4 linked regions of the Drosophila melanogaster genome follow. The protein of the gene in region 1 interacts with the protein of each later gene in a pairwise test. Each region holds a gene or a part of one and is shown on either strand. Other genes may lie near its edges. The genes, in order: Neto, Cul2, CG14452 and Smyd4-4.

What was found.
Region 2: the proteins of Neto (region 1) and Cul2 interact in a two-hybrid assay, tested with the Drosophila melanogaster proteins (one large-scale study listed by BioGRID).
Region 3: the proteins of Neto (region 1) and CG14452 interact in a two-hybrid assay, tested with the Drosophila melanogaster proteins (one large-scale study listed by BioGRID).
Region 4: the proteins of Neto (region 1) and Smyd4-4 interact in a two-hybrid assay, tested with the Drosophila melanogaster proteins (one large-scale study listed by BioGRID).

Annotation. Positions count from the first base shown.
Region 1 is NC_004354.4:13,442,345-13,450,371, reverse strand, and holds the start of Neto (neuropilin and tolloid-like), read right to left. Parts: upstream 4,470-8,027; 5' UTR 4,095-4,469; intron 1-4,094.
Region 2 is NT_033779.5:21,654,815-21,665,422, forward strand, and holds Cul2 (cullin 2), read left to right. Parts: upstream 1-3,920; 5' UTR 3,921-4,147; intron 4,148-4,280; 5' UTR 4,281-4,339; coding exon 4,340-4,458; intron 4,459-5,025; coding exon 5,026-5,250; intron 5,251-5,308; coding exon 5,309-6,386; intron 6,387-6,533; coding exon 6,534-6,651; intron 6,652-6,715; coding exon 6,716-6,822; intron 6,823-7,269; coding exon 7,270-7,638; intron 7,639-7,703; coding exon 7,704-7,817; intron 7,818-7,874; coding exon 7,875-8,006; 3' UTR 8,007-8,884; downstream 8,885-10,608.
Region 3 is NT_037436.4:22,691,695-22,698,008, forward strand, and holds CG14452 (uncharacterized protein), read left to right. Parts: upstream 1-4,258; 5' UTR 4,259-4,275; coding exon 4,276-4,629; 3' UTR 4,630-4,741; downstream 4,742-6,314. Other genes in the region: CG14454 (uncharacterized protein), read right to left, coding at 456-818; CG12546 (uncharacterized protein), read right to left, coding at 1,742-2,095; CG14453 (uncharacterized protein), read left to right, coding at 2,408-2,809; CG32453 (uncharacterized protein), read left to right, coding at 5,553-5,915.
Region 4 is NT_033778.4:12,136,846-12,145,298, forward strand, and holds Smyd4-4 (SET and MYND domain containing, class 4, member 4), read left to right. Parts: upstream 1-3,785; 5' UTR 3,786-4,105; coding exon 4,106-4,369; intron 4,370-4,425; coding exon 4,426-5,549; intron 5,550-5,661; coding exon 5,662-5,995; 3' UTR 5,996-6,427; downstream 6,428-8,453. Other genes in the region: CG18343 (uncharacterized protein), read left to right, coding at 2,013-2,312; SkpB (SKP1-related B), read right to left, coding at 2,594-3,079.

The sequences.
Region 1 (8,027 bases):
GTAATTCTCGCTAATTTAACCCACATGCATATACATATATACACCTGATAACAACAAAGAGAATAGCATTTTGTTTTAAAACGCAAAAGATTAGACACAATTTCAACTATTTTCCGTTGACAATGCACTCTGGCAATTTCATAGTCGAATTTTTGCGCACACAAAGCAGGCAAATAATAGCCATTTTGCGTACGGAAAAACAAGTGCATTTTAATACCGAACATGATATGAAATCATAGAGCGCATATATTTAGCAAATTTGCCAAAAATTAAATACATAGCTACCCAGCGTAACAGATGTCGAATTAATTGTCGAACGATTTACCTTGGGGAACTTGCTGCAAAAAAAAAACTTTAATTGATCATAACTTTTCGGCTATCAAAATAACAGTTTGCTGCCTTGGGCTTTTATCCTATCAATATTACATTTCACTTCTGTAATATTGCTATATATTACAAAGAAATATAAATAAAACAATATGTTTTATATAGCATCTAATCATTTCTCCAATTGTTCTTCAAACATTTATTTCTGCAGTTTTGAGGGAGCAAAGAACTAGGTAAACCTAAAGTACTTTATTCCATATTTTGCTCTTGACATTCTAAGCTATTCCTCGGATTTTGAATACCATTTCAAAACGACATTGCTGATGATTTTGTGCACCATTGTTTTTCATTTCCTGAAACATTCACTTTTCACTTAAGATCTGAAGGCACAACCGCAATCAGGTCATATAGCCGACAGCTCCCATGACAATGTGCAGATACACACAACATTTACCTATATATAAATGAGATTTTTCACTTTACATCTTTGGCTTTGTTGTGGCCCAAATTTCTGCAGTGGCCGCAATGTAAAAAAAAAATAAATAAATAAATAACATATACACAAAAGATAAGAAATATCCCAACGAAACCGCTGTAAAGTGGTTAAGATATTCTTGAAAGATCTATTATTTGCAGGACAGCAGTTTAAATGCATCATTATAAATAAAAATAAAAAAAATGCGAAAAAAATAATCAAATAAATTACTGCCAACGAGTAGAAGCCAAAAAGTGAAAGCAGTACTTTATCTGGCCGTCTCTTTCCTTGTGGAAATGGCCATGTTGGTTTTCCATTTTCATGGCATTTTGCATTTCGCTACTGCCTGGGTCTGGATTTTCATTCTTTTCTTTTCTTTTATTTTTTTTTTTATTTTTATTATATTTGGTCAGTTTTCTTTTTCTCCCTTTTTCTGCTGTAATGAAAGCGATTACAAGCCGACAGCAAAGCAGACGATAATCAGGGGGAGAGGCGGCGGGTTGGTTTGTGGAAAAGCCATTTCCTTTGCTTTTCCACTTCCTCCGCCCCTTTTGTAAAGTTGTCGGGCAAATTTATGACATTTATTGAAATCGTTTTTCTTTTGGCTTTTCCAGCAGCCCGAAAAAAAATGGCCCATTCCCATTCCCATTCGCATGCCCATTTCCAGGCTTTTCTGCTCTTTTTCCGTTCTGATTAGTTGTATGCCATTGCGTTTTCCAACCACCCAAGTCCAGCTGCAATTAGTTTCACATTCCACGGGAAATTGCTGCGAAAATCGCCGCACAATGCAAAAAGGCTTTAAGATCAGACTTTTTTGCGGCCAAAAATAATACGGGGAAAGAAATGAAAACACTGTGGACAGACACAAATAATAAATAAGAAGAAATCCCAGCAAATGAGAGAGGACCTGTTGCTCGGGACACAAAGGAAATGGGTGGTCAAAGGAGGCGGAAAGCAGTTAAGCTAACCGAAATCGCCAAAGGAAGTTTGGGCTTAACTGTAAAAACTTTTGGCTTAATTTTATTGAAATAAATGGTTACAAAAATTGAACAAAATTTAATCTCAGCACAGCTGCAGAGAGATAAAACTAAATGGAGTCCAATGTGGAAAAACTAGAAGGGAAATTACAACATGGCTAAGAAAATTAAAAGGATCACAAAAACGAAATGGTTGAATTAAAATCAATGGAGAAAATCTGAACAACAATATAATCACACTCAGAAAATACGGAGTACAAATAAATATTGCTATTAAACATTGATTTGTAATTGTTGAATGCTGGATACATTCTTCTTGAACAAAATAAGAATACACAGAAGAAGAAAATAATATGATTTAAGCTTTCTTTTGGAGTAAGAACTCATCCTTTACTTTAGTCCTTAAAAGGCAGGAATAATCCTTTTCCCTATTTGACCAGCTGGTCAACATGCCATTAATTACCATCGAAGTTTCCCTTCAAAAATAAAAAAAACCCTCGTGAATAAAAGTTTACCACAAAAATTTTGTTTGCCTCGCCCAAATTTATGAGGGCAACATGCTGAAAAAATTTAAGAAAACCGAAATGGGAGCAGCAAAAATGAATGGAAAATGAGAAGAAAAACTAAGAAATCGACGAGGGCGCTGAAAGTGCGTGTATAAGATAGCCTTGAGCCACATATGTGGGAATGGGATATAGAAGAGCGACAGACGAGATGAACATAATGCAAAACTTTGTCAGCCACCGATAGAGAGAGATGGCTGCACAGCATGCGAAAGAGATGGGACGATTGGAAGTCTAGTGAATTCATTGAGACGGCAACAAAACAGAGAAAACACTGGGAAATTAAGTTAATGGACAATTAACAACCAACACAATACCCCGTAAACAATTAATTTATTCAATCTACTAATGCAATAAATAAAGATTGCATTCAGTTTTGCAAGCCCAAATGATTATTATTGTTTTGCGGAGTATATTTTTATTTAACCTAATAGCATAGTTCATCAATCCCTAATCCATACACTGCGTATTCGCGAGGGTATTTAAAGAAAAGCCGATGGAAAACCTTCGTCAAAGTTGGCGCTAACGGAATTGTTGTAGTTGTAGCTTGGAAAATCTTCTTCAATAACAGCAGCAACAACACAAAATACCCATTACGCATATGTAATAATTTTTATTTTCATTTTTTTCCGAATTTTCTTCTGTTTTTTCTTTCTCTTCGTGTGATCACAGCTGTGCCGTGGACAAGGAAAAGCGGGAAAACGAAAGGGAAAATTGGTGAGAGAAGTGGGAAAGCCTGATGGCAGCCGTTTAATTTTTGCTCTTGTTTTTGTTGCTGTCTTTTATTAATGAATTTCTCTCATTTTTCACCAATTCTCTATAGCCTCTGCGTTCGTGTCTTTGGTTTTTATACAATTTTCCCCTCTTCGCTTACTCGTTCTGCTCTTGTTTTTTTACTATTTGGGCTATGTCTAAAAATATGTCCGCCAATTCGCTAAGTGGCCCCAAACTTATCTATACGGGATACATAGAAAATACGGTCGAAGTTTCCAAACGAATGCGACAAAATAGTTTAAATTAAACATTCATTCGAAATCTTTCAACATATATTGTAGCTTATATGAGATAAATAATAAAAACAACAAAAAATCGAACACTTTTCAAAATGTTTAGAAATGTTTAATCGCAAGTATATTCGATCTAAAACTGCTGAACAAATTAACAATTAATAATATGTATAAATATATCCCAAGACGCATTAAAATAAAATCAAAGACTTAAAGCGCACTAATAAAAAAGAAAAACTCATTTAAGTGGGCACTTACTAGGAAATTACTAGAGATTATTTTAATATTGCTTTAGAATCCGCATAATGGACGCCTTCTGTGCAAAAGGAATTTTTATGACACATCCACTTTTTGCCTTTTCATTTCCATTTTGTTGGCTAAAACCGAACAACTTTTACAACTACAGGCTAAAAGAGACTAATGTGCCCTCTGGATCATTGAAGCTTGATTTATGCAAATTTCATTCAGCTACCACAGCCATAATGCCTTGATTTGATTAATATATTCGCAAACATATTTATTGCCTATTATGCGGAATGCAGCAGTATACGTATTTATTTTATAATTGTTATCCTTTGCAACTTAATATTGTCACTAGCCCACTAATTAATTGGTAAATATCGGCAAATAGATTTGTTATTTTAAGAAAACACGGAAATATAATTTGTTTACATTGCAAAGCTGCCATCTAATATATATATGTATATGTGCATATGTTTAATTTATATATATATGTATATATTACTATTTGCGTGTTGTCGCCTCCTTTGGCTGCGTTGCGAAATGTTGTTTTTATTTGTTTTTGTTGCCGCTGCGCTCCGCGAAAATATCTCAATTTTTGGCGCGCATTTTTCAAGCCGGCAAGCTTTTCACACACACACACTTTCACACTGGCACTGTCACTGTCACACAAACAACCAAACAAAAAAATTTGTATTTCTTTTGAACAAAAGCAAAACCTTAAGATTTTAAAATCGTATCTCTGGTGCTTGTCTATTAGCAACCAATCGCGATGTTTTTTTTTTTTTGGTAGTGAAACGTTAATATCGAATGTGCTGTCACCGGAGAAAGCGAACCGCGCCGCGTGTCCGTACACGTGGCCAACTCGACGTAGACTGGGCGTATACGTAATGCCGGAATTTGTGGCTCTGCTGCATCGAGTCTGCCGCTCGACTGTTGCCGCTGCCACGGCGGATGCTGCCACTGCTGTTGTCGACCCGCCAGTGCTGCTTACTTAGCCGGCTTTCCCGACAACTCTGGCTAGTTTTTCCAGCCGCTCACTGTCTTATTCTTTTCTATCAACCAAAAAGAATTGTATTCGTATTTATTACTTTATTATGTTACTACCTAAAATTGATTGAGTTGTTTGCCCAATATCTATAGAAGTTTTTTTTTTAATACTAACAATCATTAACATAATAAAACAAACTAATTGGATTCCACTTGTTAAAAAAAAAAATACGTATTAATAAAAATATCTAATTTTAGAAGAATATCACACCATAAAATAAAATACTTGCGAGAATCTAGCAATTTTTGTCCATTTCCCACGCTTAAAAATTAATTTCCCGAAAAGAAATTTAAAAATTATAAGCTGATATGTATTATCTTATTTTTCTAGCCTCTCAAATTGACAGTACTATTTATGACGGATCTTAGCTTTTAATTATTTCTTTTAAACAAAAATTGTTTCCTATTAGATTTACGGATGTGAATATGAAAACTGACAGTGATCTATAATATCTTGCTTTTCTATAGAGATTAAGAAATAAAAACTTAATAAAAATAAATTATGGGAAACGTCTGCTCGATATCCAGATGCATTTCTTAACATCAACATATTTTCGCCGCCCACTTTCAAGCTCATTTTAGTATATACATTTTGATATGGTAAAGAGCCAAAAAATAGTGCGATTTATTTTAAAACTTAAACTCATTTTATCACAACATTTCACCAAAACGTTAAACAATGATGCAAGTATACGGGTTTCATGCGAACCTTAAGAAATTGGAAAATAATTATTTTCAGCTTTTTTTCCCCCCCAAAATATTTGGCATCTCTGAGGATGCTCCACAAACGCTCAATGTCGAGTGAGTGGGAATACGAGGCGATGGCCGAAAGCAGCCGAAGTGCGTTCGTTTGTGGCACAAAATTTCACTCGAAACGGAATTTCCCATTGTTCGAGTGCGAGTGAGATGGGAGTGAGCGGGAATTTTGAGTGAGTTGTAGGTTTTTTACTCATTTCCGCTGGCACTTCCGACGTCGTCCTGGGCCAAGGAAGTTGTAGCCACGCTGACAAGGACAACAAAGTCTGTCTTCATTTTTTGTTCGGCTTCTTCGCAAAATATTTTATTTTATTTGCTTTGGTTATATTTTGCTTTCTTTGTGTTTTTGTTGTTATTCTCTTCTTTTTTTTCGTTTTTTTTTTTTTGGTGAAATGTCAAATGACATGCCTGGATCACAGACTGTGGAAACTGTTGTGAATGTGGTTTTCTTAAAGCCTCAAGCGATTTGATATTTCCTTTGCGATTCGTTTGCATACATTGTACGAAATGTGTGCGAAATAAAAAAAAAAAACGACTTCTGTGGTCTCTTAAAAACTACATTCCCTTCATTACAACATATTTTTAATAACTTGAGATCCCGCAGATTACGTGAAGTTTCTCCAGACACTCTTAATTGCCTTTATATTAGCTTTCGAAGCGTTGCTATGACAGAACGCGTTAAACACCTCAAATAAAAGTAGAAGCCTATCATCTAATACTCTCTCAAATTAACCAATTTTAAAATCTATGTCATTGCTCGAGCTGCTTAAATTAAATTGATTATTAAGCTGATGGAAACCTTAAAGTATAACCAACAATCTGATGTTTATTATTGCAAAAACATATAAAATTTCCAATTGTAGGTTGTAGTTACGCTTACTTGATAACCTGATTAAGTTTTAAACGAAAGGCAAACCAAAAGAGAAGTTGTCATTATTTTCATTACCTCTCCCAAGCTTAGCACGTTTGCAAAATAATATAAAATAAACTGATGTTTCGAATGCAAACTATAACAAGCCGTCAGCTGTGACTTAAAATCGATGTAATCACATTAATACCCAATTAACCTTAACCAAAGAGTATCCTTTGAGTCTGCCAGCTTGAAATTCCAGCGTAAAAAAGTGTTGCCTGCGAAGCAAAGGGACAAAAAGCAGCGCCATGGCTGCGTTTTTGCAGCAGGATCTGGGACTAAGGGCAACGGAGAATGGAGAATGGAGAAAGCTGAAAGGAGAAGGACCTAGGACAACTGAGACCAAAAGCCGCATTGTGCGAGGCCACAGGATATGGGTAGGATGGGCAGGATGCGCTGGATGGAAGGGACGCGGGGTCGAGACGTTCCTTTGCTTCAATTTGCTGTTCTATTTTGCTATTTTGCCGCTTCCACAGGCCACAGGGCAGCAACAACAACAGCGAAAGGCGGTCAAAGGTTGCCAGAGTTACAACCAAATGAGTAAGATGCGAACAAGAACAGGCGAACAAGTGTAGCACCAACACCCACACACACACACACACACACACACACACACACACACACAGCGACACCCACAGAAGGAACAACAACAATACCGGCAGCAGCTGCCTGTTGCCTCAGTAAGGAATAATTTGGCCCAGTATTTGCCACCCACTCACCCGCCCCAACTTCTGTGCGTTATTATTTGCCTTTCGAATCCAATGTGTGTAATGCCTTCGAGTGTGATTAGCAGCAATGTACGAGTCATGACCGTAATAACAAGGATATGCGTAAGGTCCCAGGAACCGCACCCAAAGGACACGTTGCTTGCAAAAGAATTTCACTTGCCCGCCTGGCCCGCAAATTTATTCGCAATCAACGCTATTAAGTGTCAATCGACCACTGCAATTATTAATCAGACGTCTCCAAGGATCAACTGGGACACTGGGAAACGCAAATGTAAACGCAATAGCCCGAGCACAAACAAACTCAAAGGCCTTAATTACATAATCAACGAGTTGGTCCATAGTTATGCAAGCCCAAGCCCAATGATATCCAAGTATATAACTCGTTCCATAGTCCATAATAATTGTGGGTGTCTGCACACATATCCATGGCGATAAACGAGTATATTTGCCAGATTCCAAGATTGTATTTATGGGGTCGATGGTTTCCTCCATGCTCTTTGTTTTAATATTTGCACTTAAATTTGCTACATCCCATTTGATTTTGCCAATTTATGGCACTGTTGCCTTTTACATGAATTATGAACATGATGTACTTAACAAATCGAAAGATCAATTAGTTCATAGTCCATGTGGTACGTTACGTCTTGAATGTGAATTGCCATGAGTAATAAATGTTACCATATACTATAGTTATGTGAAGTTGAGATAAACGCATTATTCTGGCTTGTTCATACAACATTTACATACTATAATTATCTTGTAGAAATTCAATAATTCGCAGAAATTTTAATATTTCTCATTCAACCGATTTCAATTCCATTATTACACCAATTTGTAATTTAATTGTAGACATGGTAAAAGTCACTCAGTATCAATGTCACAAGCTCCATGGCTGTTAGCAAGTTTTCTATAAGAATTTAAGTACTCCAAAGTCCACAAACCGATTGAATCACTCACTGGCTTCAATCGAAGCTAGGCAAACAAACAAACAAAA
Region 2 (10,608 bases), on another chromosome or scaffold:
TTAAATCTAATAAATTTAGCATGTACAAATCCAAAGTTATCAATGCCGTTCAAAATAATGCACATGAGAATAGTTTGGAAAAACTTTTTGACATCAATACAGAAGTAAGCGATAATGATAAATGTAAATTAAGAAATATATTGGAAAAGTATGCCGATAGTTTCGTAACTGGGATACCAAATAAGGCGCATTGGAAATTCGTTTAAGTAATAAAAATAAAAGTGTTCAAGGGCGCCCATATCGACTCAGTTTCCATTGCTACTGATTTTGGATCAAATAGATCGTTTGCGGTGTGGTAAATATTTTTTTCATTTGTTTTAGACATGGCCAGCGGATTCTATAGAAGAGTCAAGTATGTCTTTCCTTAGAGCTCCCAGTCGCATCATAGTGGATCAAGGCAGAAGCTTTGTCAGCAACAAGTTCCGTGAGCTTTGTTCAACAAACAGGATTGAGTTGTTTTCAATAGCTACAGATGCCAGCAGAGCAAATGGGCAGGTTGAAAACAAATGAGCGTACAAGCAAGGAAAACATGCGAAAGGATGTAGAGTAGTTCGGTATGAGGTCATGTGTTAAGTGAGAAGTATCATCGAGTGATTAATGTACTAGATGGTCATCGACACAATTTGAAGTCGTTAGTTATCAAGCGAACATATAAATATTCGCATGAATGTAATGGTGACTCCCAACAGAGAAAAGAGTTGAAGGATGGCACTAGTGAACGTGCATCTGTGTCCCAAGAGAGAAAAGAGTTTAAAGATGGCACTAGTGATCGTGCATCTGTGTCCCAAGAAAGGAAACATTTGGCGAACGTTATGAATAGAATGGCGTGTGACCGCACTATAACAGCTAACTCGCAGGGACGAGAAGTGTTATGGCGGGGGTCAAGTGATGATGACTGCACTATAACAGCTAACTCGCAGGGACGAGAAGTGTTATGGCGGGGGTCAAGTGATGATGACTGCACTATAACAGCTAACTCGCAGGGACGAGAAGTGTTATGGCGGGGGTCAAGTGATGATGACTGCACTATAACAGCTAACTCGCAGGGACGAGAAGTGTTATGGCGGGGGTCAAGAGATTGGGTGTGAGAGAAGACACGCCAATGTTATTATGAGAAATTAAAGTCATGGAAAATGTAAATAGTTTGAAGTTTTGATATGTAAATTGGAGATGTCTTTGTAAAAGAAAAATCAGTCATGAGATGAATTGTCAATTAAATAATTACTGATTATTACTTGTTGTCATTAATTGTTCTTAAGTTGACGAAGTTGTGTGACTTGGACTTGATTGGTGGATTAGGCACACGAGGACGTGTGAAAGGTCAGGAAGGCCGTGTCGGAGCGCGACTCTTCGCATTCCAGAAATTCCTTCTGTGATTTCATATTCTGATGAAATTGTAATATTGCGGTAAAATTCTGTCGAGCGCTGCGGCAGAGGCACGAACAGCCTCTGCAGCTGAGTGAGGTCCGATCGAGTGGTCATAAATAGTGTGTTAGAGAGAGATGACAATGTGGCACACGTCAGTGTGTATAGCCATTAGAGAATATGATGAAGAAGGGACATGTAAGAAGATCCCTTCAGTGAAGTTTGACTGCTGACGTCGATCGGAACTTGCTGCGCTGACGTACAAAATCGCGAAGTGAATAAATAATATGGATGAGACTCCTGTTTCGCCGACATATATAAGAAAAATTGTCTTCTCAAAAATTGTGAAAAACAAATTGTAATCCAACTTTTTACATAAATAAATAATAAAAGTAAAAATCTTTTAAGGTACCGTACAACTTGGAACAGGTTCTGTGAGCGAAGTAATTAATATTTGTAGTTATCGTCGGAATCTTGTATATGTCGAAGAGTCATCAGGACACTCTTTTTCCTCTTCACTATTCTCGTTGTTGCATAACGTTTTCTGGCGCGTGAGCGAGACATGTCTGTTCTGCTCAACGATCGATCACTAACTGACCCAATCTCTCTTCACAAAATCCGAATTACGCGTAATTCTTAACTCTACACGCATTGCCAACACATTTTGGAGACCCACTCCAGTCCGCACTAGTGCACACCGCATTTTTCTGTACGCTTCCGTTATTCCTGCAGAAATCTACTTGCACCCGCTCCTACCCGCGACCAGAAACTCTAACGGTTCTCTGCCGCGCATCAAAAGAATAGAAAAGGCAATTACTAGAAATGTCGTTACATTTAAATGATCTGCGACATATACAAGTTGTCCACGTACATGTTGATATACAAATTCAAAACTCCAATCTCAGCAGCAGATAAATAACCAAACTTAAAGTAAACACCAGTCAGAAAATTTCAATTTCACAATGCTGTGAAATAATTTCAGTATAAAGCTTTTATCCTAAACATATTTGAAGTTCCAGAAAATTCTAAAAAATTTCTAGGTTGAGTGGATTAGGATTTAGATTTAGAAAATCAGTCTAAGTCCGGACGAGATTGTGAACATTTTCAAATTAAGGATAAGATAAGATAAATAAATTTTAAATTTTAATTTACATGTATCTACATATGTTGGCTGTTGTCTATCCCAGTTTCGAAAACAATGCATGTAAAAAGCGTGTAGTCACAGAAAAATTATATCTCCACGAAAACTGTGGATTAAATTGTAATCAAACTTTTTACACAAATAATGAAATTACAACATTTTTAAGATACCGTGCAATTTGAAGTTTATTTAATTTTTTGGAATTCACCTCCAAATAACGATTAAGAAATAAATACAAAACGTCTGCCGTGCTGATGGCTCAGGCTTTCCTCAGGCTGGAGTACCCCCCATGCCACAGCTCTAAACACTAAAGTCGATAACCACCGACGTCTCACAACACTGAAAATGTAAGCAATGTTAAAGCGAACACAAAGACAAAAAATTTAAATGTTTTGAAATGCTTAGAACATCACACCTTTTGGTAAATCGGAGTCCGAATTCTTTAAATAATTCTCGGTATATATATTAATTATTTTTTACATCATTTACATCTCAATCCATTTCTCCATCAGTATATGGTATCACACTTGGATCGACGACTGCTACATTGGATAGGTCAAAGTGAAATGTGTGGATGGCCTTTGGAAGCTACAAAGGCTGGAAATAGTGGTAGGCGATGTGCCAATTTTTGGCGCATATGGAAGGTTGCAAGTATTGATCACCGGCGGCTACGGTGGATGTGGCTCCAATTTATTCTTTGGAGTAAATTTCCGGTTTGGTGGATAAAAAAGTTCCAATCGACTGACAACCAACAGACAACTAAAAAAATTTGGCGCTCAACGATCTTAGCCATTGACAAATATGAGACTTTCTGATTTTTTGAGCTATACATTTTGTAAATTTTTGTTTCTTTAAGCTTAATGGTTTTTTCGTTTGTTTATCTTAGCCTTTATATATTTTCTTAGTAATTAAACATGTATTTATTTTGTATCTATCTCTTTGTATTTGTATTTTTTTGTATGTATCTCTGTTTGCCTTTTCGAAAGCCACATCTAGGCACTTAACAGTTTAGACCTTTAAAACTCGGTCTGTACAAAATGGATCATTCTTCTAGATCATACACTTACCTTTAAGGCATAACCCTTAACTCACTTTTGAAATCTTTTGAAAATGTATATTCTTTTGAACAAAAAGGTTGGCACTCGAGAGCAATAGCAATACGTATAAGCAATCGAAAAAAACGAAAATCATAAAAAATCCTAACATTATTACAGTTCACATATGAAATCAATTTAGGTTTGTGCACTTACAGTTTTTTAAGAAAATGGCTTTGGCCAGTTTTTAGGCAGGAAGGTAAAAAATTTGTTCAGTGGATCGGCGTTGACAATAAATTAAGATCAAAACAAAAGCAAACGTTTCGGTAGTGGAGACACGACATTCTTTTTACATCGAATTTTTTGTCGAGTTCAAATATCGATAGATTATATCGATATCGTCTTCGTCTGACAAACCATTTCACGATACCAAAAAAAAAGTGCAAAAATAACTAAATTCTCGGCGTAATTATTTAGTAAATAGCGTAGCTAAGCAGCAGGTGAGTAGGTCGCAAGCGCGCCCCTCCACGATCCATCAAGCGGTAATTGGCCTGCTGTGCAATTGCTCGAGGACAAGGCCATTTGCCTGGTGGCCCCCACGCAAAAAGTAAGCGATTATGCCAAAAAGCAAAGCAGAAGTGGTCTCTGCCAACGCATGAGGGTCGCTCGGTCGCCCATTGTTATATTTGCGAAGGCAGAATCAGTCGGCGTTCTAATTAGCGTGCACCCTGTCCCATCAGAAAACCCTTCCAAATCCATATCCAGACGGACCACGGATTAGGACTAAGACCCATTTGACATGTCGCTCAAGCCCAAAATAGTGGAGTTTGTCGATGTTTGGCCGCGCCTGCGCTGCATCGCCGAGTCGGTGATAACGCTCACCAAAGTGGAGCGCTCGGTGTGGAATACTAGCTTCAGGTACGTCTTGGCAACGGTCGGAGTATTAAACAGCCTGGAGAGAGATATTGTGATAGGTCACTAGAGACTACAAAGTTACCCAACTCAGAAGAAACACAAATAACACTAACTAACTTTTAAATTAATCCAACATAAGTAATGGTTTCAATCACATTATTTTGCATTTGAGTTGGTAAACTATGAATGTACTAGTACCTAGCGGTTCAACTATATATTTTATTCAACAGCAAAATTCACAAATATAGCTGCTAGCGAGGCGAAAATGATTTGGTAAATGTCGTAGAATCTTGATAAATGCAATCATAGTTTTAATAATAAATGCCTGTTTTCTAGCTTGAATTTAAATATTTTGACCGCTTAAAGGTTAAACTAAGTTCAAGTAAATATTAAATAGATCGATGACGTATCTTTTTAAAATTAATAATCAAAACAGTGTAACGCAGGCTGCTTTTATTCTGACCGCAACTGTTCGTATATATGTGTGAAGCGTGAGTTGCCAAAATAAAATTTCTAAAATAACGAGCACTAATACATCTGTCTTTCCAATCACATTCCTTTAACATATAGCGACGTTTACACACTGTGCGTGGCGCAGCCGGAACCGATGGCTGATCGTCTTTATGGCGAAACAAAACACTTTCTTGAGCAGCACGTCCAGGAGATGCTGGCCAAAAAGGTGCTGATCGAGGGAGAATGCTCCCATTCCAATGGTGGCCCAGACCTTCTCCAGCGTTACTACATCACCTGGATGGAATATAGCCAGGGTATCAAGTATCTGCACCAATTGTACATGTAAGAATGCATCGAAGTCTGTAATAACTCAATGATCGTTGGAATTAATTTCCTTTAGCTACCTGAATCAACAACACATCAAGAAACAAAAGATTACCGATACGGAATCGTTCTACGGTAATCTGTCAAGCGATGCTGCGGAGCAGATGGAGATTGGCGAGCTAGGTCTAGACATTTGGCGCCTGTATATGATTGAGTACTTGTCCAGCGAACTGGTCCGTCACATACTCGAGGGCATTGCCGCAGACAGAGCTAGCAATGGCACCTTGGATCACCATCGCGTGCAAATTATCAACGGAGTGATACACAGCTTCGTGGAGGTACAGGACTATAAGAAAACAGGCTCGCTTAAGCTCTACCAGGAACTCTTTGAAGGCCCCATGCTGGAGGCCAGTGGCGCCTACTACACAGACGAGGCTAACAAGTTGCTCCATCGGTGCTCAGTGTCGGAGTACATGCAGGAGGTTATCCGGATACTGGAATATGAAAGCCGGAGAGCCCAAAAGTTTTTACACGTCAGTTCCCTGCCAAAACTACGTAAAGAGTGCGAGGAGAAGTTTATTAACGATCGTTTGGGCTTCATCTACTCGGAGTGCCGCGAAATGGTTTCAGAGGAGCGGCGCCAAGACTTACGCAACATGTACGTCGTACTAAAGCCCATACCCGATAATCTCAAGTCTGAGCTCATAACCACCTTCCTCGATCACATCAAAAGTGAAGGTCTGCAGACCGTATCTGCGCTGAAGGGCGAAAACATCCATATTGCGTTCGTAGAGAATATGTTGAAGGTACATCACAAGTACCAAGAGCTGATCGCAGACGTCTTCGAAAACGATTCTCTATTCCTGAGCGCATTAGACAAGGCGTGCGCCAGCGTTATCAATCGCCGGCCAACCGAGCGGCAGCCTTGCCGTAGTGCCGAGTATGTGGCGAAATACTGTGATACGCTACTGAAAAAGTCTAAGACCTGCGAGGCAGAGATCGATCAAAAGCTTACTAACAACATAACCATATTTAAATATATCGAGGATAAGGATGTGTATCAAAAGTTTTATAGCCGACTGTTAGCCAAGCGCCTAATCCACGAGCAAAGTCAGAGCATGGATGCGGAGGAGGGAATGATCAATCGTTTGAAGGTGCGTGGTCTGCTAGTCTAAAATGTACTTCACAGTGAATAACTGCAATAATGTGAATTATTTATTTTTAATGCTGTTTTAATTTGTTATGACCCTTTTACAAAACTACATTAGCTTAAATAGATCTTCTTTTATTAATACTTACAGCAAGCCTGCGGTTATGAATTTACCAATAAACTTCATCGCATGTTTACGGATATATCGGTATCAGTAGATCTGAACAACAAGTTTAATACTCACCTTAAGGATAGCAATGTGGACTTAGGTGAGACGGAAAATGTATATTCATTAAAGATAGTTTATTTTTATGTATGTGTATTTCTATGCAGGCATCAACCTTGCCATTAAGGTACTGCAGGCGGGCGCGTGGCCCTTGGGATCTACTCAAGTTATACCATTTGCAGTACCACAGGAATTTGAAAAATCTATTAAAATGGTACGTTTTTCGTAAATGTATATATTTTATTTTAAAACGAGATAGAAGCTGCCTTTGACAAACCAAAGTTATAAAAAATTTTTTTCAGACTTTCTTTATTTAGTCAAATTTTTAAAGAGAGGCCTTTTAACAATATTCAGAAACATATATAAATATTTAAAGCAGCAATAAATACAAATAATATATAATAATAAATACAGAAAAACCTTTATGTAAAAAACTTTCCTTCAAATCGACGACTACATCGTAAGGTGTTCTCTTGAAATGTGTGACATATAGAAAGTTAAAAGTATCTTTATTTCAATAAAGGTACTTTAGCATACCAAATCAAAACGCAACTTCTTTTGGTCCAAATACATCTTAAACCGTGTGACTTTGTCGAAGGTACTTCAGAAATTTTAAATGTATACGTTAATCGTGTACTGTACCTTTGTTATGATTTTTCAGTTCGAGGATTACTATCATAAATTATTTAGTGGCCGGAAGTTGACTTGGCTACATCACATGTGTCATGGAGAATTAAAGTTGAGCCATTTGAAAAAATCTTATATCGTGACTATGCAAACATACCAGATGGCGATAATACTGCTGTTCGAGACTTGTGATAGTCTGAGTTGTCGGGAGATCCAGAACACCTTACAGCTAAACGACGAAACGTTTCAAAAGCACATGCAGCCTATTATCGAGTCAAAGCTTTTAAATGCCAGCTCAGAGAATCTCGCCGGTGAGACTCGAATAGAATTAAATTTGGATTACACAAATAAGCGTACAAAGTTTAAAATAAGTTCGGCTTTGCAAAAAGAAACGCCACAGGAGGTAAGGCATTTCGATTTCAACCTGGTTACCTGGTACCTGGTTTTCTAACGACGTTATTTATGTAGGTTGAGCACACAATTAACTCGGTAGATGAGGACCGAAAACTCTTTCTACAAGCCGCCATTGTAAGGATTATGAAAGCGCGTAAAGTCTTAAAGCACAATGCCTTAATACAAGAGGTAATATCTAAAACACCTGACTGTGAATTAAAATTACATGATGTATTTTTTCTTTAGGTTCTCTCTTTATCGAAGGTTAGCTTTACTCCCAACATAGCAATGATCAAGAAATGCGTGGAGTCATTAATTGACAAACAATATATTGAGCGAACGGCGAACTCGGGCGATGAATATAGCTACATGGCATAGACTGCGGTAGAGATTTTTTATTCTTAAACAAGAACCTTCCCGGACAACAACCTCCCATACACACAACTGACGCTAACCAAGCGGCTTATTTTGTCTAAAAAGAACTACCTACAATGTTAAAAAAAGAAATCAAAAGGTCAAGCAATTTGAGTTTTGTTATTTTTGTGGTCATAGCATATTGGTATGAAAGGTGTGTGGAAATCAAACGACGTTACTGATACTTTTAATTTAGCTTAGTTAGTTGATCCATTTTGATTTAATGCGTGTGTCCTATTCAATTGTAGATATAATATATTTCTTTATGTATTGTATATTTATCTGGTTTTATTAACACACGCACAAACCAGAATAATGTGCTGGAAAATGTATAATAAATCCCAAAAAATGTCTAAAAATATGTCATTCAAAGTATTTCGTATCCTGTGCGTTAACGCTGTACCACTGTACACTTCAAATTTACATAAATGAATGCTGTGCAAAAAGCAGTCAGCATTGCAGTTTAAGTATGCGGATAGAGATCTGTACTTTTTATTTGGTCGTCTCGGAAAAAACTGGATCTATTGTCCGGAATCCCATTCTTATAATTTTTTGATTTTCTAGTACTTTTTAATAACGAATCCGGGTAGAAATAGGCGTACCACCACCTACAAATTGGCATATCGTATATTGAGCTTTGAGTTGTCAAAGTGCCAAAGAAAGTGTAAAAGCAAACATTTTTCGAAACTTTCAAGATTGCTAAGATTCTTAGATTTTGTTTTAAAAGAGCTTTTAAGGACTTTCCCATCTTTTTGTTTTTGCTCACACATTTTATTGGACCTTGGTTTAAAATATAAAATTCCCTTAAATTCTTTTACTAATCTTAGAATGTCGATTTTATTAATTTACAATACCTTGTACGTATGTTCAGTAACCATTTAAGTTTCGCCTTTGCCAAGAAATCCAATATTTGTATATATTAAATACCCAAGGGCCGTGGATTATATTTGTTTTTAGTCATTTTTATTTCTTTTGTGCTACTTTTCTAAAAAATATATATCATAATGGTAAATTAATTAATTTTACAAATATGTATATGTAACTTAATAGTTAATTATAAAAATTATTAACTTCCTATATCAAATAACACTAGTTCATTGAACGGAATAAATAAAAAATACTTTTAAGTCGCTGATAACATTAATTTGTTTTGATAAATTCGGTAGAACATGATTGTAATTTGTTTCGCGATAAAAAAAGCGGTCCCATAAAAATCTTTTTAACGCTTCTGAATCCATGGCCATACCCTGAAAACAACTGCCTTCAACGACTTAAAAGCATTTTGGATGTAATAGCTGTAACTGTAATACAATTCGTTAATAATAATTTTATCTTGTTTTTGAGTGCCACAGCTCCCGCTGATAAAATGATTCCAATATTTATGTTTTTGGCATCCACTGAGTGTTAATAAAAAATATGTTATCTTTCTTATACATTTTTTATGGTTCATTTTTTATATTTAATGACTAGTAAACGTTTACATATTGCAATTTTCCTTTCCAACCACTCAACTTCATTTTTGCTCAAAATTTGAGAAAAGCTTTCTCTGGTAAAATCGTCTTGAGCATTTTATAAGTTTAAAGTTTTTATGTATTAAATTACTCTCGATCTTGTTTTTATTATCAAACATTCGTTAAAATGTGGAGGGTTTAACTTCATTCTGTTTCAGTTTTTGGAAATTCTATACGTATCAGTTTTAAGAATTTTTTTATAATCTCAACTTGATTTTCCTGTGTTGCACTCTGGGGCGTGGCAGATGTTCGATTAATAATTTACATGAGATAAAAAAAATATCTCATTTTATTGCCCGTTTCTAGCTCCTTTAAATACCTTGCACAACTTTAAATTGATGTAAGAAATAAAGTGTTCTTGCCTAGAACCCTAAACGGTTTAGTCGTAGTCCAAACTATATATATTATATATATATATATATATACATATATAATATATAATATATAATATATAATATATAATATATAATATATATAATAATATATAATATAATATATATATATAATATATATATTTATATATATTCCTCATACATATACGAGTATGTATACAGATTTAAACTAATTCAGTGCTTTTAAATTTCTTGTTGCGCCACAATGCTGCGTGTATTCGGTTAGATTTTGGTTATTCGATCATTGGTCATATAACTACAGTAATTGCTTTAATAGTATTTTAAAAGATGAGTGTTGACCGCACATTCACTTTACACTTTATTTTCTTTGACTTGTAGGAGTGAAATCTTGTTTGTATTTGTTAGGTTCATTTTATTTATTTTGCCATTTTTTAAATTTAATTTTATCTTTCTTAGCGTTTTTTTCATTGTCAGTCTTTACGATTCACGGCTTTTGTGCATTTGAATTTTCCAATTGTCTTCTTACTGTATGACCAATACGAAATTTTATGTATTTTTTCAAGGCGAACGAACACAAGCGCTTTGCTGATCGAATGAGCAGGTGAGTGACTAGGTGAGTGCAAAGATGAACTGGCAGGTTTCGACCCGATAGAAGTTAATGCACGGTTATTATAATTTTCGATGCTACTATACACATATGTA
Region 3 (6,314 bases), on another chromosome or scaffold:
TATTCACATCCAATAGATTTAAGTATCCAGGGCTTGGGTGGCTCCATCACTTCGTGAACAGCAGCACATTTATGCACAGTTCAAAGACCAAAATGAATATTTTATTTGATTTGATTCCAGGCGGGCTGACTGCTGAGCTTGGCTGCAAGAAAAGCATTTTCGAGCGCTCAAGCTCTGGTATAATAAACTCCAGGGATAGGGCCAATTGTCTGCCGCCTTGGAATTGCGCGGATTCGCCGCTTGTCGGATAGAATATGTAGATGTGCGTGGGAATGCCTGTGGAAACGTCTTAAATGCTCTAATGCCCACAACGAAACCTTGCTCAACGCTGCAGGCATGCCTTCTCAAAAATACCTCCAAAGAAAGAGATCAATCTAATAATCTGATTAGTTGGTGCAGCGCTTATATTTCTATTGAACGGCCGAAGATTCTATCTTAAGGGACCAAGCCCCCACTTATCCCTGAAGCTGATTGATCAGGCGACGCTGCCTCACCAGCAGCTGCTCCATCCTGCGCCTCCTCTTTTCCTGGCGCTGTCTCCGCTCCTGGCGACGACGGCGCTCACGAGCCAGGCGACGACGGCGAGCACGTCTGCGCCTCCTGGCCTCCGCCGAGGAGGAGGAAGAGGAGGCAGTGGTCGTGGTGGATGCGGAGGAGGCAGTGGTGGTAGTGGTGGTGGCGGATGAAGCCGTGGTAGTGGTGGCAGAGGAGTCGGTGGATGTGGTCGCCGTCGAGGATGTAGATGTGCTGCTACTGCCCTCCTGAGCCAGGAGCAGACACAGGAGCACGCTGAGAAGTAGAGCGAATAGGAAGCGCATTTTGTTGTGTCTAATCTAATCTAATCAGACGGCCTTTTATACTCAATACGGGGTAACAATTAAACAAATATCATGTATCGGAAATCGGAAATGTGTGCACAGCCTATCCAGCTCGTCAATGTCTTGGGCTTGTAAGGTCAACAGAGTAAAAGAGTCGATCGATATATTATTGATAGTGAGCCGGGTTTAACTCGTTGAAAACGAGATAAAAAGGTAATATTATAACGCTTCTTACGCCTAATTATGTATGGCGACCACGTCACGTCTGAAGGAAATATTTGGTATAACCTATTTATGTACATTCACATCTTATCTGAGTAAAAATCGCAGCACTTGACGAGTTAAAGGTGTTTTATTTGTTCTTCATTTGAGCTTTGCGTACCCAATTAACAGTTTTGTGCTGTTGCATTTTGGCTTATATCCATTTAAGTTCTCCGAAATTAGAGATTTATTTTCCAAAAAAACAAATACGTGGTTTACATTATTTTTAAACCAAACACAACAAAGATGTGTATAATTATATTAATTTTATACCAGTTACCGATTTCAAAATTCGTCTCGATTTGAAACAGGCTACTCCTGGAATGAGACTAAACTAGATTTGTTGAAAAGTATGTAACAGGCGTTTCCGACCCTATTAATTATACATATGTATATGCTTGATCACTATTACTCCGTCTGTCCGAACGAATGTCTCGACCTCAGCAACTCTAAAAGCTAGAGAGTTGAGAACGTTGAACTCCCTCAAGCCGCTTAAATATGCCACTCCCACACGTTTTTGTGCTCCAATAAAGTAGAATTATCAGAATGTACAATCAAATGTTTTATTATCTTGGCGAACTTGAACAATGAAAGAATTTAGCTTTCACATATTTACAACAGCTTTTCCTAAATTGTCATAAGCCGAGTCTTTCCGAAGACCTTCATCCGCTCAGCTGGTTGATCTGTCGACGTTGATTCTCCAGTTGCTGGCGCAGCCTCTGAGTCCTGCGCTGCCTTCTGCGCTCCCTTCGTTGCCTCTCACGCGCCAGACGACGGCGACGGGCGCGCCTGCGCCTCCTGGCCTCCGCAGAGGAAGAGGATGAGGAGGAGGCAGTGGTCGTGGTGGATGCGGAAGAGGCAGTGGTGGTAGTGGTGGCGGACGAAGCCGTGGTAGTGGTGGCAGAGGAGTCGGTGGTTGTGGTCGTCGTCGAGGATGTAGATGTGCTGCTACTGCCCTCCTGGCTAAGCAGGAGGCATCCTAGGACGGAAAGAACAATTACGATCGAGAAGCGCATGCTGAATGTCTTTGACGCATTTGAGACGTTACGCATGTTTTTATAGCAAATTTGAATAATGGTGGTTTACCAAAAGCGTGTAAGCTAATAGGTCTGCTGGATTGTTAGCTTTAACTAAGGTAAATTTTGGTAATGTTTATTCAGATTGAGAAATTATGTGTGCCGCCATATAGTTTAAACGTTGCTCTTGAGTCTTAACACACATAATAATGTAATAGATTTACGGTAATGAGCGCGTTTCTCAACCAAGTTTCCGGGTTCAACATCATATAAATAGGCTATTCTCCAAATCATAAGATATAACTGCTTAGAATGCGATTCATATTTGTTCTGCTCTTGGCCCTTCTCGGCTGCCTCCTGTTTGCCCAGCAGGGCTGCGAAGCTACGGGAACGAGCACTGAAAGCTCCTCGGATAGTACCAGCGCCTCGGACACCTCCACTACCGCGTCCTCTTCCTCCGACACAACTGAAGCCTCAACGTCTTCCGACACCACCACAGTGGCCTCGTCTGCCACGACTACCACCACTTCTTCGTCCTCGTCCTCGTCGTCGTCCTCCAGCGCGGCCGCCCGTCGTCGCAGGGCCGCCGCCCGTCGTCGTCGCTTGGCCCGCCAACGGCGCAGGCGCCAACAGCGCCAAAGGCGCCAACAGCGCCAAAGGCGCCGCCGCCAACAGCAGCGCAGAAGACGCCAGCAAAGGCAGCGCAGTGGATAGACGATTGCTACAGTCGAAGAGGAGGCTGCTGCAGCTAGAAACCTGTCGAGTCAGACAGCTAATACAAGCCAAAGATTGATGTTTTAACTAAATTGCAGTTGCGTTGCTGTGGGATATTCCGTTTTTTAAAAATAAAGAAAATTTTAAAAAATAAATTATTTATATTTACAACTTAGAGGGGGTCTCTTACCTCAATGGGAATTTCTGAAATGGAGTTGTTTGTTTTTTCAGTCTGTTCAAGCTTTCTGTTCTGGCAAAACTAAGTAAAGTATGTCTGCTTTCTCAATTGATGATTGTGTCGTGTCTAATTATTAACTCAAATGCACTATAATCTTAGAGACCATGTTACGTTTTTCAAATTATTATTATTTGCCAAAGATAATACGGACTTAAAATCACGAAAACGTGCTAAGATGGCAAAGCACGAAATTGTAAACTAAATTGTCGCTATCAAATAAGTTGACTATCCACAAAAGGATTATAGATCCTTGGGGCTTGGCTTGTGAAAACCAACTCAATAGGATCCAGGTTATCCAGAATAGGGCTGCGAAATTGGTCACTGGTTGTGTATATGTGTATTTCATTAAATAAACCAGCACTCGAGTCTCTACTATGAAAGGCTAAGGCACCACAGGAATAGTCTGGCAAATACCCTGTATAGTACACGCCCACCAATGAGGCTTAATAGAAGGCAACCGAAAGACCTCATTCTTCGATCTCCTTCAAGGAGGGCCAGTAGACCCTGTCCTTTATACAACTGTTATTGTCCCTTTTTGTTTTTTAGATTTTAGATACAGATAACTTTAGTAAGCTAAATTAATAGCTTCCATGGTTCCAAAGGGGGAGGTGGAAACCAAATAATAAAATGAAAATGCAAAAATTGTTCAAAAGTGTGGGCGCGACAGGTTTGGGCGGTTTGTGGACGTTAGAGTGCGAGTGGCAAAAAGTTTTATGACATATCGAAAGTAATTTACGAAACTAACACAAAAATCACAAAATACAATACAAAAACATTTTTCAAAAGTGTAGGCGTGGCATTTTTGGGCGGCTTGTGGGATATAGAGTGGGCGCGTCCGTCTATGTCTCTAGAATCTGTGTTCCTAATCTCAACCTATTACGCCGTGTGTTATTATTTTAGCATGTTAATAAATTATTTGAAATGTATTTTTTAAGAACGTTTAATTTTACTTACGGCTTCCCTTTTTCCAAAGTACGTCATGGAAACACCAATTTGAAAACACCATTTTAAATTGTAATCTTTATTTATAATTTTAGCTGAAGGGCTATTTTTTTTTGTAGAATACCAATTAATCAAATAATATCATAGAAAATATTTCGCCAAGGAAAAAACAAAAGAATACAAATCGAAAAGCTGAGCAAACATATCTGAATGTCAAGTGTAAGAACAAAATAATTACAATCTAGTATAAAAGCGCCCACTTTTTTCCATCTTACACACATTCAGCATGCGCTTCTCGATCGTAATTGTTCTTTCCGTCCTAGGATGCCTCCTGCTTAGCCAGGAGGGCAGTAGCAGCACATCTACATCCTCGACGACGACCACAACCACCGACTCCTCTGCCACCACTACCACGGCTTCGTCCGCCACCACTACCACCACTGCCTCTTCCGCATCCACCACGACCACTGCCTCCTCCTCATCCTCTTCCTCTGCGGAGGCCAGGAGGCGCAGGCGCGCCCGTCGCCGTCGTCTGGCGCGTGAGAGGCAACGAAGGGAGCGCAGAAGGCAGCGCAGGACTCAGAGGCTGCGCCAGCAACTGGAGAATCAACGTCGACAGATCAACCAGCTGAGCGGATGAAGGTCTTCGGAAAGACTCGGCTTATGACAATTTAGGAAAAGCTGTTGTAAATATGTGAAAGCTAAATTCTTTCATTGTTCAAGTTCGCCAAGATAATAAAACATTTGATTGTACATTCTGATAATTCTACTTTATTGGAGCACAAAAACGTGTGGGAGTGGCATATTTAAGCGGCTTGAGGGAGTTCAACGTTCTCAACTCTCTAGCTTTTAGAGTTGCTGAGGTCGAGACATTCGTTCGGACAGACGGAGTAATAGTGATCAAGCATATACATATGTATAATTAATAGGGTCGGAAACGCCTGTTACATACTTTTCAACAAATCTAGTTTAGTCTCATTCCAGGAGTAGCCTGTTTCAAATCGAGACGAATTTTGAAATCGGTAACAGGTATAAAATTAATATAATTATACACATCTTTGTTGTGTTTGGTTTAAAAATAATGTAAACCACGTATTTGTTTTTTTGGAAAATAAATCTCTAATTTCGGAGAACTTAAATGGATATAAGCCAAAATGCAACAGCACAAAACTGTTAATTGGGTACGCAAAGCTCAAATGAAGAACAAATAAAACACCTTTAACTCGTCAAGTGCTGCGATTTTTACTCAGATAAGATGTGAATGTACATAAATAGGTTATACCAAATATTTCCTTCAGACGTGACGTGGTCGCCATACATAATTAGGCGTAAGAAGCGTTATAATATTACCTTTTTATCTCGTTTTCAACGAGTTAAACCCGGCTCACTATCAATAATATATCGATCGACTCTTTTACTCTGTTGACCTTACAAGCCCAAGACATTGACGAGCTGGATAGGCTGTGCACACATTTCCGATTTCCGATACATGATATTTGTTTAATTGTTACCCCGTATTGAGTATAAAAGGCCGTCTGATTAGATTAGATTAGACACAACAAAATGCGCTTCCTATTCGCTCTACTTCTCAGCGTGCTCCTGTGTCTGCTCCTGGCTCAGGAGGGCAGTAGCAGCACATCTACATCCTCGACGGCGACCACATCCACCGACTCCTCTGCCACCACTACCACGGCTTCATCCGCCACCACCACTACCACCACTGCCTCCTCCGCATCCACCACGACCACTGCCTCCTCTTCCTCCTCCTCGGCGGAGGCCAGGAGGCGCAGACGTGCTCGCCGTCGTCGCCTGGCTCGTGAGCGCCGTCGTCGCCAGGAGCGGAGACAGCGCCAGGAAAAGAGGAGGCGCAGGATGGAGCAGCTGCTGGTGAGGCAGCGTCGCCTGATCAATCAACTTCAGGGATAGATAGGGCTGATTACCAATGTTACTAGCAATATAAAAATAAAGCCATAAGTGCTAATTAATGTGCTAATTACATATGCGTTGCTTAATGGCCTGGTAAAAACCTACAAAGTGTAAGTTTTAGTCCTTTTAAATGCTAAATGTGCAAGTCATTTACTGAAAAGTTACTATTGCAATATTATGCTTAGTAATCTTTATATACATATTGTAGTTTTACAGTAACAATAGACTTCTTTCGTCGGTAGGTATCATTACTCTAAAAGCAATGTGAAGAAGGAATCTTACATGCATGCCATGCAATAATCATATATTTAACGAGAGAGAATGACATAGTAGAGCTCCCCAATGTGTGGGATATCGATAGACATTGAATAAAATGAGACAAAATTTAAAAATTGTTCA
Region 4 (8,453 bases), on another chromosome or scaffold:
TTCTTAAGACGTGCGATTTTAAGCAAAGCCAATTGGCCCAGTCTGCTTTTCAACACATTTTTAAAAGATCTTAAGCTTGCGCACAGTGTGTAAGCTTCTTGATCTTTCCAAAATTCAAGATCAAAACAAACGGTTTATCTTGCATACTTTACTACAGGGTGACCTCTATCATCCAGTGCTGTTAATTAACTTATTAGCTGTCTTTTCAACTTGGAACTGTGCAACCCAATGAATTATATAGTGCGTTGGCATCACTGTCACCACATGGTCACATGGTCGTGGGGTCGTGCCTTATTTATAGCCCTAGAGCCCGTCCTCCTGGGCTTTGTGTCAAAGTCAGGCTGTCAGTTGCATCAAGTCGAGTTCAGTTCCCTGAAGTTTCGTTTCTAGTCCAGAGTGCAGTTGCAGCCCAGTTGGACATCTGTTTGCACTTTCCGCCTACGTCCTTTGTCCAGTGTCCACTTTTTCATATAGTTTGCGGCGGAAAAGCTGCGTGGCAAAGAGCATGGCTAATAACAGGTTGACAGAAAGAATAGGGAAACTGAATTTTTGGTAAAATCGCTATGATCTAAAGCATTTTAGGTCTAGCTGCTCTCATGGTTTCACACCCACTGTCTGTAAGTAATAAGTACAAATATACATAAAAGACCCTACTTTGCGCCATTTATTCACATTTGTAAGCTGGGTGGGCGACTTGACTGCTATTTAATTTTAATTTTGCCGGCGAATAGTAGACGCAGTACGTTGAACCGAATGAGCTCTAAGAAAAATAAAATTGCTCGTTCGCCTGTCGTGATTGTATTCTTTTTCATTTTTGAAGCATCAGTTTCAGGTATCGTTTTGCACGGCAGCCATTCCCTGGGGAATCCCTGGGATTTAACAAATTTTCAGCCAGTTCAATGCACAGCGTTGAAGTTTAAAGGTCGCCATTACAATTATGGCCAGGTTAGCTTTAAGACACTGTAGTTTGAAAAAAAAAATGGGTTTGGCCACTTTGATAACTCGAGAATGGAACCATCAGTGCGGCATAGCAGTTTGTCTTAGTACTCCAATTTAAATGCACGTTATCCAGAGAACAAACCACAATTTGAAAAAACACCTATACTTCATACATTATTGTTTAAGCTGTATTTTATTAGTGACATTAATTGCAATAATTAGCTGTGCGGTTGCTAATGCTGCTAATTTAAAAACTTTTCATAAATTTAATCAAACGCTCTTGGTTCTGGTTGTGATAAGTGAAACAGCATTTATTGATAAAGTGCGGTTTATTTTAGAACTTATTTAAAAATTGAAAGGTACAAGCTATTTTTAGAATATTTTGGACTTCCTGCCGATGCCAAGCATTAAACACTTATAGGTTGTAAACAAAAAGTTTTGCATATTTAATAAAACCAATTATGTATTTTTTATGTTTTCGTAGCTATAATTAATTTTTTTGTGATGTACTACACAATCGCCGAACATTAAAAACCGTAGACTATCACATACCTCTTACTTATAAAGGCTTTAGACTTCATCTTTGTCGCGGACCTGTTTGGGGCTATCGACAGTTAGTCAAGACCCAATTTAGAGCCGCTAGAAGTTAGAGATATTTGAGTCAGGACTTTACTCCGTTTCGATTTACTCCGTTTTAATCTCAATCTTAATCTCAACTCTCTAGGATCTATTGTTTCTGAGATCCCGACATTTATACGGACGGACAGACAGGCGTACTCGGCTATTGATCCTGATCAAGAATATATATACTTTTTATGGTCGGAAACGCTTCCTTCTGCCTGATACATAATTTTCAACGAATCTAGTATACCTTTTACTCTACGAGTAACGTTTATAAAAATTCTATCCATTTCTCATACCTCGATGTTTTGAAAAAATGCAGTGCTGCCACTACGATCGAAATGCGGTCACACTAGACAGCTGATTTTTTCCAACTGGAAGATTTGCTTTGCACACTGGACAAAGGAAATGTCCCATTTGTCGGCTTATCCAGCATATACGTCAGTCTAAACATGGAGAAAAGCTGCAGTATTGGCAACGGACGGGAGCAATACGGCTGGGGACATGGCGAACAATGCGGCACGCAGTTCCTTGAATGTGTCTACAGGAACGCGTCCATGTACTCTGTTCTGGGCGATCTGATCACATACGTGGTGTTCCTGGGGGCTACGTGCTACGCAATACTTTTCGGCTTCCGACTGTTGCTGTCCTGCGTGCGAATCGTCCTCAAAGTGGTTATCGCCCTCTTCGTCATCCGATTGCTGCTAGCTTTGGGCTCCGTCGACATCACATCTGTTAGCTATTCCGGGTGAAGTGACCAATCTGGCGAATGCCATCGGGACCACGGCCTTTAAACTACATTAACTAAATCAAATATAAATTCCAAATTGAAGAACACTGTAAATTACATTAAACGGTTTGTCATTAATTCCTTTGTTAAAGAGCACTTGCCAACATTAAAGCATAATATTTTATTTAATTAACCCAACAGAACAATTGCTGACTCTTAACATGATCAGCTAACTATCTCAATTGAAATGTTGATTAAACAAAAAATTTAAGCTTTAATTTCGTCATGGTAAGTTGATGGTATTCATTTATCCTCACACCACTCGTTCTCCTTGCGCACCTGTTCCTCCTCCTGTGGCAGAAAGTCATTCTGGATGGCGAAGGTGTCGCGAATAGCCTGCGGCGACTTGCCCTTGATCATATTGGCCACCGTCTTGCAGGTGACGTCGAGCAGACCCTGGATATTCAGGTAGTTTGCCGCGAGGATCAGTTCGAACAGCGTGCCCTGGTCGACTTTGAGAAAGTCAGCGTCCCAGGATGAGATGTCATCAGTGCGCTTCTCCTTGTTCTCAACCTCTTCGGTAACCACAGGATCGTCCTTGTGATAGGTGGCCCAGTGGAGCACTTTCTTCAGGATCAGCGAGTTGACATTCGGCAACGGCAGCACACTGTTGTCGCTCTCATCGCCCAAATCCTCTATTGCAATGCGAATCGTTTCCGAGCACTTGGCGATCTCCTGATCCGTGTCAAAGATCTCCTTGTCCGCAGACTCCAGCCGAATGATGGGCATCTCTGCGTAAAAATTTTTATTTTTGCTTATATCTATATTTTCAATTTTATTCGTACACACCTCCTGCTGATTTGGATCCCAAGATTTGATACGAAATCGGTTTGATTTATTTGCAGACGCAGCCAAACAAAATTTTTAGACACAACACGATGTCACTTAGCTGTGGCCTACTGGCTAAAAATAATATTCCCTTGCCTTCAACTTGAACCGGACTGGTGCGGCGGCCGCCTGAGAACAGAGCGTTTGTTAAATAAAGAACTTGGCTGCCAATAATTCCCCGGATTCTTAGAAAACTAGAACGTCGTACGATTTGAAGAGGAAATTTGTTAGTGAAACGGCCGCCAGTGTGCACATACTCGGAATGGCTTTAAAAGATGGCGCCTATTACAGTTAATGGTGTGGAGACACTGTGACAGCTAGCGGTAAACAAAAGCTCAGTTATATTTTTTTATAATGTATATATATATATTTTTTTTAAACATATATATTTTGGCACAATTCAAGCGTGCTGGGCGTTGTATTATTTAAACAGAAACCTACAAAATTCTGCCTTTATAGTTAGTTTTTATCCTGTTTTTATTTAATGAATTTCAAATTTCAAATATTTTTGTAAACAATTTTAAGCTAGGCCAAGGGTTTGTGTCGCGGCTAGTGCAAGCAGTCAACTTGCGGCATTTTTTAGTACATTTCCCTCTGTGCTGGGTTATATATTCGCAGGCTATACTCCACACTGCTTCCAGCGGAATCGTCAAAAAAATAACATTAAAATCGCCGTGTGCATAATTAGAATATTTCCGAATAGTAATCGCCCGTGAAATCGCTAATTAGCGGTCAGCACTTGCGCCAGTTAAAGAAATCGCGGCACCGGCAGTGGGCCAAAAGAACATTTTTTCCGGCTGAAAAAAACAGGCGGCGGCGTCGACACGCGGACCGAACCAAAGGATCCGAAGCCATCCGATCAGATCTAATCCGATCCGGAGAAAATTCCAGGACACTAAGGACTTCCGAAACTACCCCGCACAAGAGATGGACGTGTACGACGTGAGCGATGATCTGATAAAGAAGCTGCAGGACTGGAAACTAATCGGCATCATATCCGGCAAGTTCAACGAGCTGAAGGAGAACCATCGCAAGGTTGACTTCGTGATGCGCGCTCTTATTGACTTCAAGTACATTGAAAAGATATTCCTGAATGTAACGCTTCGAGAGGACAAGTGCAACAAGCGGAGCGTGGAGTTCCGTATGCTGGGCAACGAGCAGTTTTCGCTCAAGAACAGGAATTACTTCCAGGTAATCATTGCCCCCTCAATCGGCAAACTTAAGCTAATCCCTGCGACTCGTTTCAGGCTCTAGAGCTGTACAACAAAAGCATCTGTTATGCCGAACCGAATTCGGAGCACCTGTCCATCGGCTATGCTAATCGGTCGGCGGTACTATTCGAGTGGAAGCGCTATCGGCAATGCCTGGACAATATCAAGCTGGCAAGGCAGGCCAACTATCCGGCGAGACTGAGCCACAAACTAGACAAGCGAGAAAGGGACTGCCAACAGCTACTCGATCAGCAACCGCCGGATGTGGTGCCCTATGAGTTCAAGCTCAGTTTCGAACCGCATGCCCAGGTGCCCTTCATCGCCGACTGTTTGGAGTTGCGCGAAACCGCCGCCGAGGGTCGCTTTGTGGTGACCAATCGGGATTTGGCCGTTGGGGATCTTGTGTCCGTGGAGGAGCCCTTCTGCTCCACACTGCTGACGCCGATGCGATACATTCGGTGTGCCACCTGCAAGCGGGAGAACTATCTGACCCTCATACCCTGCGACAGCTGCTGTTCCACGATGTTCTGCTCCGAGGAGTGCAAGTCGATTGCCATGCAAACCTATCACCGCTACGAGTGCCCCATCATTGACTTTCTGAACCGCATGTTCAACAAGATCCACTGTATCGCACTGCGCACCACACTGGTCGCGCTGAATATCTTTCCCAGCATCGAGGAGCTAATTGACTTCTGTGAGCAGGAGCAGAACCAGGACAAGTGCGCCTTTGACCTCAACTACAACGAGCTGACGCCGGAGGAGCACTACCGGGCCATCCATGGACTGGTGACAAACCAGCACCTGCGCTCCGTCTCCGATCTCTTCCAGCGCTCCGTGGTCTGTGCTGTGCTCAAGCACTTCATAATCGAATACACACCCGTCAAGGAATATTTGGGCGGCGAAGAAGGCGTGAACTTCTTCACGGACCTCCTGTTCCGACATCTGCAGACATCTCCCTCGAATATGCACGGCATCGACCTGGTCGAGCAGGTTAACGAGACCAAGGACGACCAGACGCACTCGTCTGGGGCGTACGCCTTCCTCTCGCTCATAAATCACTCTTGTGCGCCGAATACTGTAAGGATATACGAGGGCACCAAGGCGTACATGTTCGTCCTGCGGCCTATTAAGGCGGGAAATGTGCTCTACGACAATTACGGGTAAGTAGTAACCAAAGCATTCTGACCACACCACTTTAGTTCAAGCTAATAGGGGTCCAAGTCACTGCAGCTCTCTTCAAATACTAAAACTAATAGATATCCAACTTTTTAGTGCTCACTTCGCCATCTGCAGCAAGGAGCAGCGTTTGAAAAGGCTGTCCCTGCAGTACCGCTTCGACTGCAAATGCGAGGGCTGCGAGCTGAACTATCCTATGTTCGGAATGATGCCGCACAAGGCGACGGTGCCATCGGTTACCGATGACACGGAATTGGCACTGAGCTCCTACAACTATGATTTCGCGGTGAGCAACTATCGAAAGTACTGCGACTTCCTCACGCAATACGGTGACGACTATCCGTGCGAGCAGATTAGCTCCGCGGAGGAGTGCCTAAAGATGGCCCTGCATATCATGGCGGACGCAGTGCCGCTCAAGGCGAAGATGTAATCGGATCCTGCCGCTGAACCAACCCACACAACCAACACGGACGAACTTTTCCTTTGCTAACTTTAACTGGAGACAGCGTATTACAAGCGAGACACAAATCAAGGAGAGTAATTGATTATACATACATGTTGTTGCCATAAGTCTGTAGCGCAGGCAGCAGCGCGATGGGGAGGGAGCATGCCCTTAACTTTTATATTTGTAATTGTACATTTTCGACCTTTGATTATGTTTTACCCCGCACCAAGCCCGCACACCACACCCACACAACGCCCAGCACACCCACACAACGCCCAGCACACCCACACAACGCCCAGCACACCCACCACACATTTCACAACAATTCGAAAGTTCAAAATTCTAAAGTTTATTTATTTTTTGATCACAACAATGTCTTCGATGAAAACAAACAAACAAAGGATTATTATGCAACCTACGTCGTTTTTATAATTATTTTACAAAAACCAACTGAAGCAGAAATAAAATATTTTCAAAACGAAGTGACTTTGGCCTCAAGGCATTTTGCTGTACAGGTCCAGCAGGTTCTGGTTCAGCAAGGATCCTCCCCGGGACATGGACGTCGCCACCTTTTCCGAGGACGATGCCGATGTCGTGGGCTGCAGCTGTACAAACTCGCAGCCAGAGGAGCTGGCCGCTGTGTCATTGAAAAGCACATTGCCGAAGGCCTGCTCGAACTGCTGCTGGAACTGGCGGGCGTTGATGGGCTGCAGATCCTCACTTTGCGCCGGATTTATGTTCAGCTGAGCGGCCAGCTGATCCATGCTGTTGGGCTCCCGTTGTTGGCGCTCCCGCTGGTCGGCACTCTTCGCATAGATATTATCGCCGGCTGACTCAACGTATTCCGCGTAGTAATCTTGATCCACGTCCCTGATGAAACTACCGTCCATGGCCTGAAAGCCCATGCGAATCAAAAGCGATATCTTTGTGTTAAAGCACTGCAGCCAGGCCCGATTCGTCTGGTAGATGGACAGCTGCGCATCCTCACCGCTGGCATTCCAAAAGTCCAGCAGCGTGTTTTTCGTGAAGTCAATCAGCATATGCCGTTTGGCATCCGGATACAACCTGTTGATCGCCTCCAAGTGCCGAAATGTAATCTCCAGCAGATGGTGCTGATGGCGGGAAACGAAAAGCTGCCACTTGTAGACCATAGTCATCAGATTCCACAGCTTGGACATCGACTGCTCGTCGAGTCGCATCAAGGAGCAGGTGGCAATGTCGTTCAGCATAAACTTGCAATGCTCGGCGGTCAAAAGCTGCGCACTATTGTGTTTCGATCCGTTTAGGAGCGAGTCTATAAACTTTGGTTCGAGCAGCACAGAAGTCACATCGTGGATAACTGGTGGAAGATATATATATAGTGTCTTTTAAATTTGAATTTGAATTTGAATTGAAGCATATAGCTATGCAGAAGACTCCAAGGCTCTAACTTTAACCTTTACCAAAGCTTGCAAGGACGACTCTAGCATCTCAAATGTAATATCCATGTTCAAATTTCTTGGCGGGATTTCTTACCCTGGACCGATTTGTCCTGAGCAATCTGCTGCGCCTTCAGCCGCTGATCGATCACGTAGAGCATCTCGCAACCGAGATTGACCAGGATGAAGACATTGGCCCGGGGATTCTACAGCTGGCGTGGACTAAAGTTGGCCATCGTTTGACGGGCTACTCGATGGCACGGGCGGCGATTGCGAACTAAACTGGAAAACCGATGACTTCGTCGAGCACGCAAGGCTCGGAACCCAAAACCGTTATTGGATTTTCGGTTTCCGTGCGGACTGCCGGCCCCCATTTACACGGAAAACAAATACGTAATCGTTTCGTATAACATCGGTTATAAAAAGCTAAAGATCCAAACTTGATTGTTCGGTATAATCAGAAAACATTCTTCAATATGTTTTCTTACTTAATTTTTTGAATAACCAATAAGAAAACGAATGTATATGTGTATATTTTGTAGGCTAAAAGGGTTTTGGTCTCATTAACTCATCATAAATATACAATATAAGTTGACCTTTACCATATATCCACTGGGCGTTTTTTCCAGTGTCCTTTCGCATTTGATGGCTTTATGAGAGCCTCGGCAACGTCTTTCAGTGCAAACAATAACGAAAGTCTGTCCGTGGCGACAGGACAGGCCGTGTATAATTATGGCAGCCATGGTGGGAAGGACGAACCTCCACCAGCGCCGGGCAATAAATTTTATTGATTTGTAAATTTCCATTTCAAGCGCAGGGCAATGGTAATTAGCCTGGAAATTATGGCAGCAGGTTAAAAAGTTAAAGCGCTTACCCTATTATACATATGTGTATGTCCATCACAACAGGATGGAAAGCTCCCACGACCAGTAGACCAGCAGACCTGTCTGCTAATTCGTTGGTCGGGCGGAGTGGTTGGTGGTTGGTGAGGTCTACCACCAAGTTCCAGTCCAAATGGGAGGCAA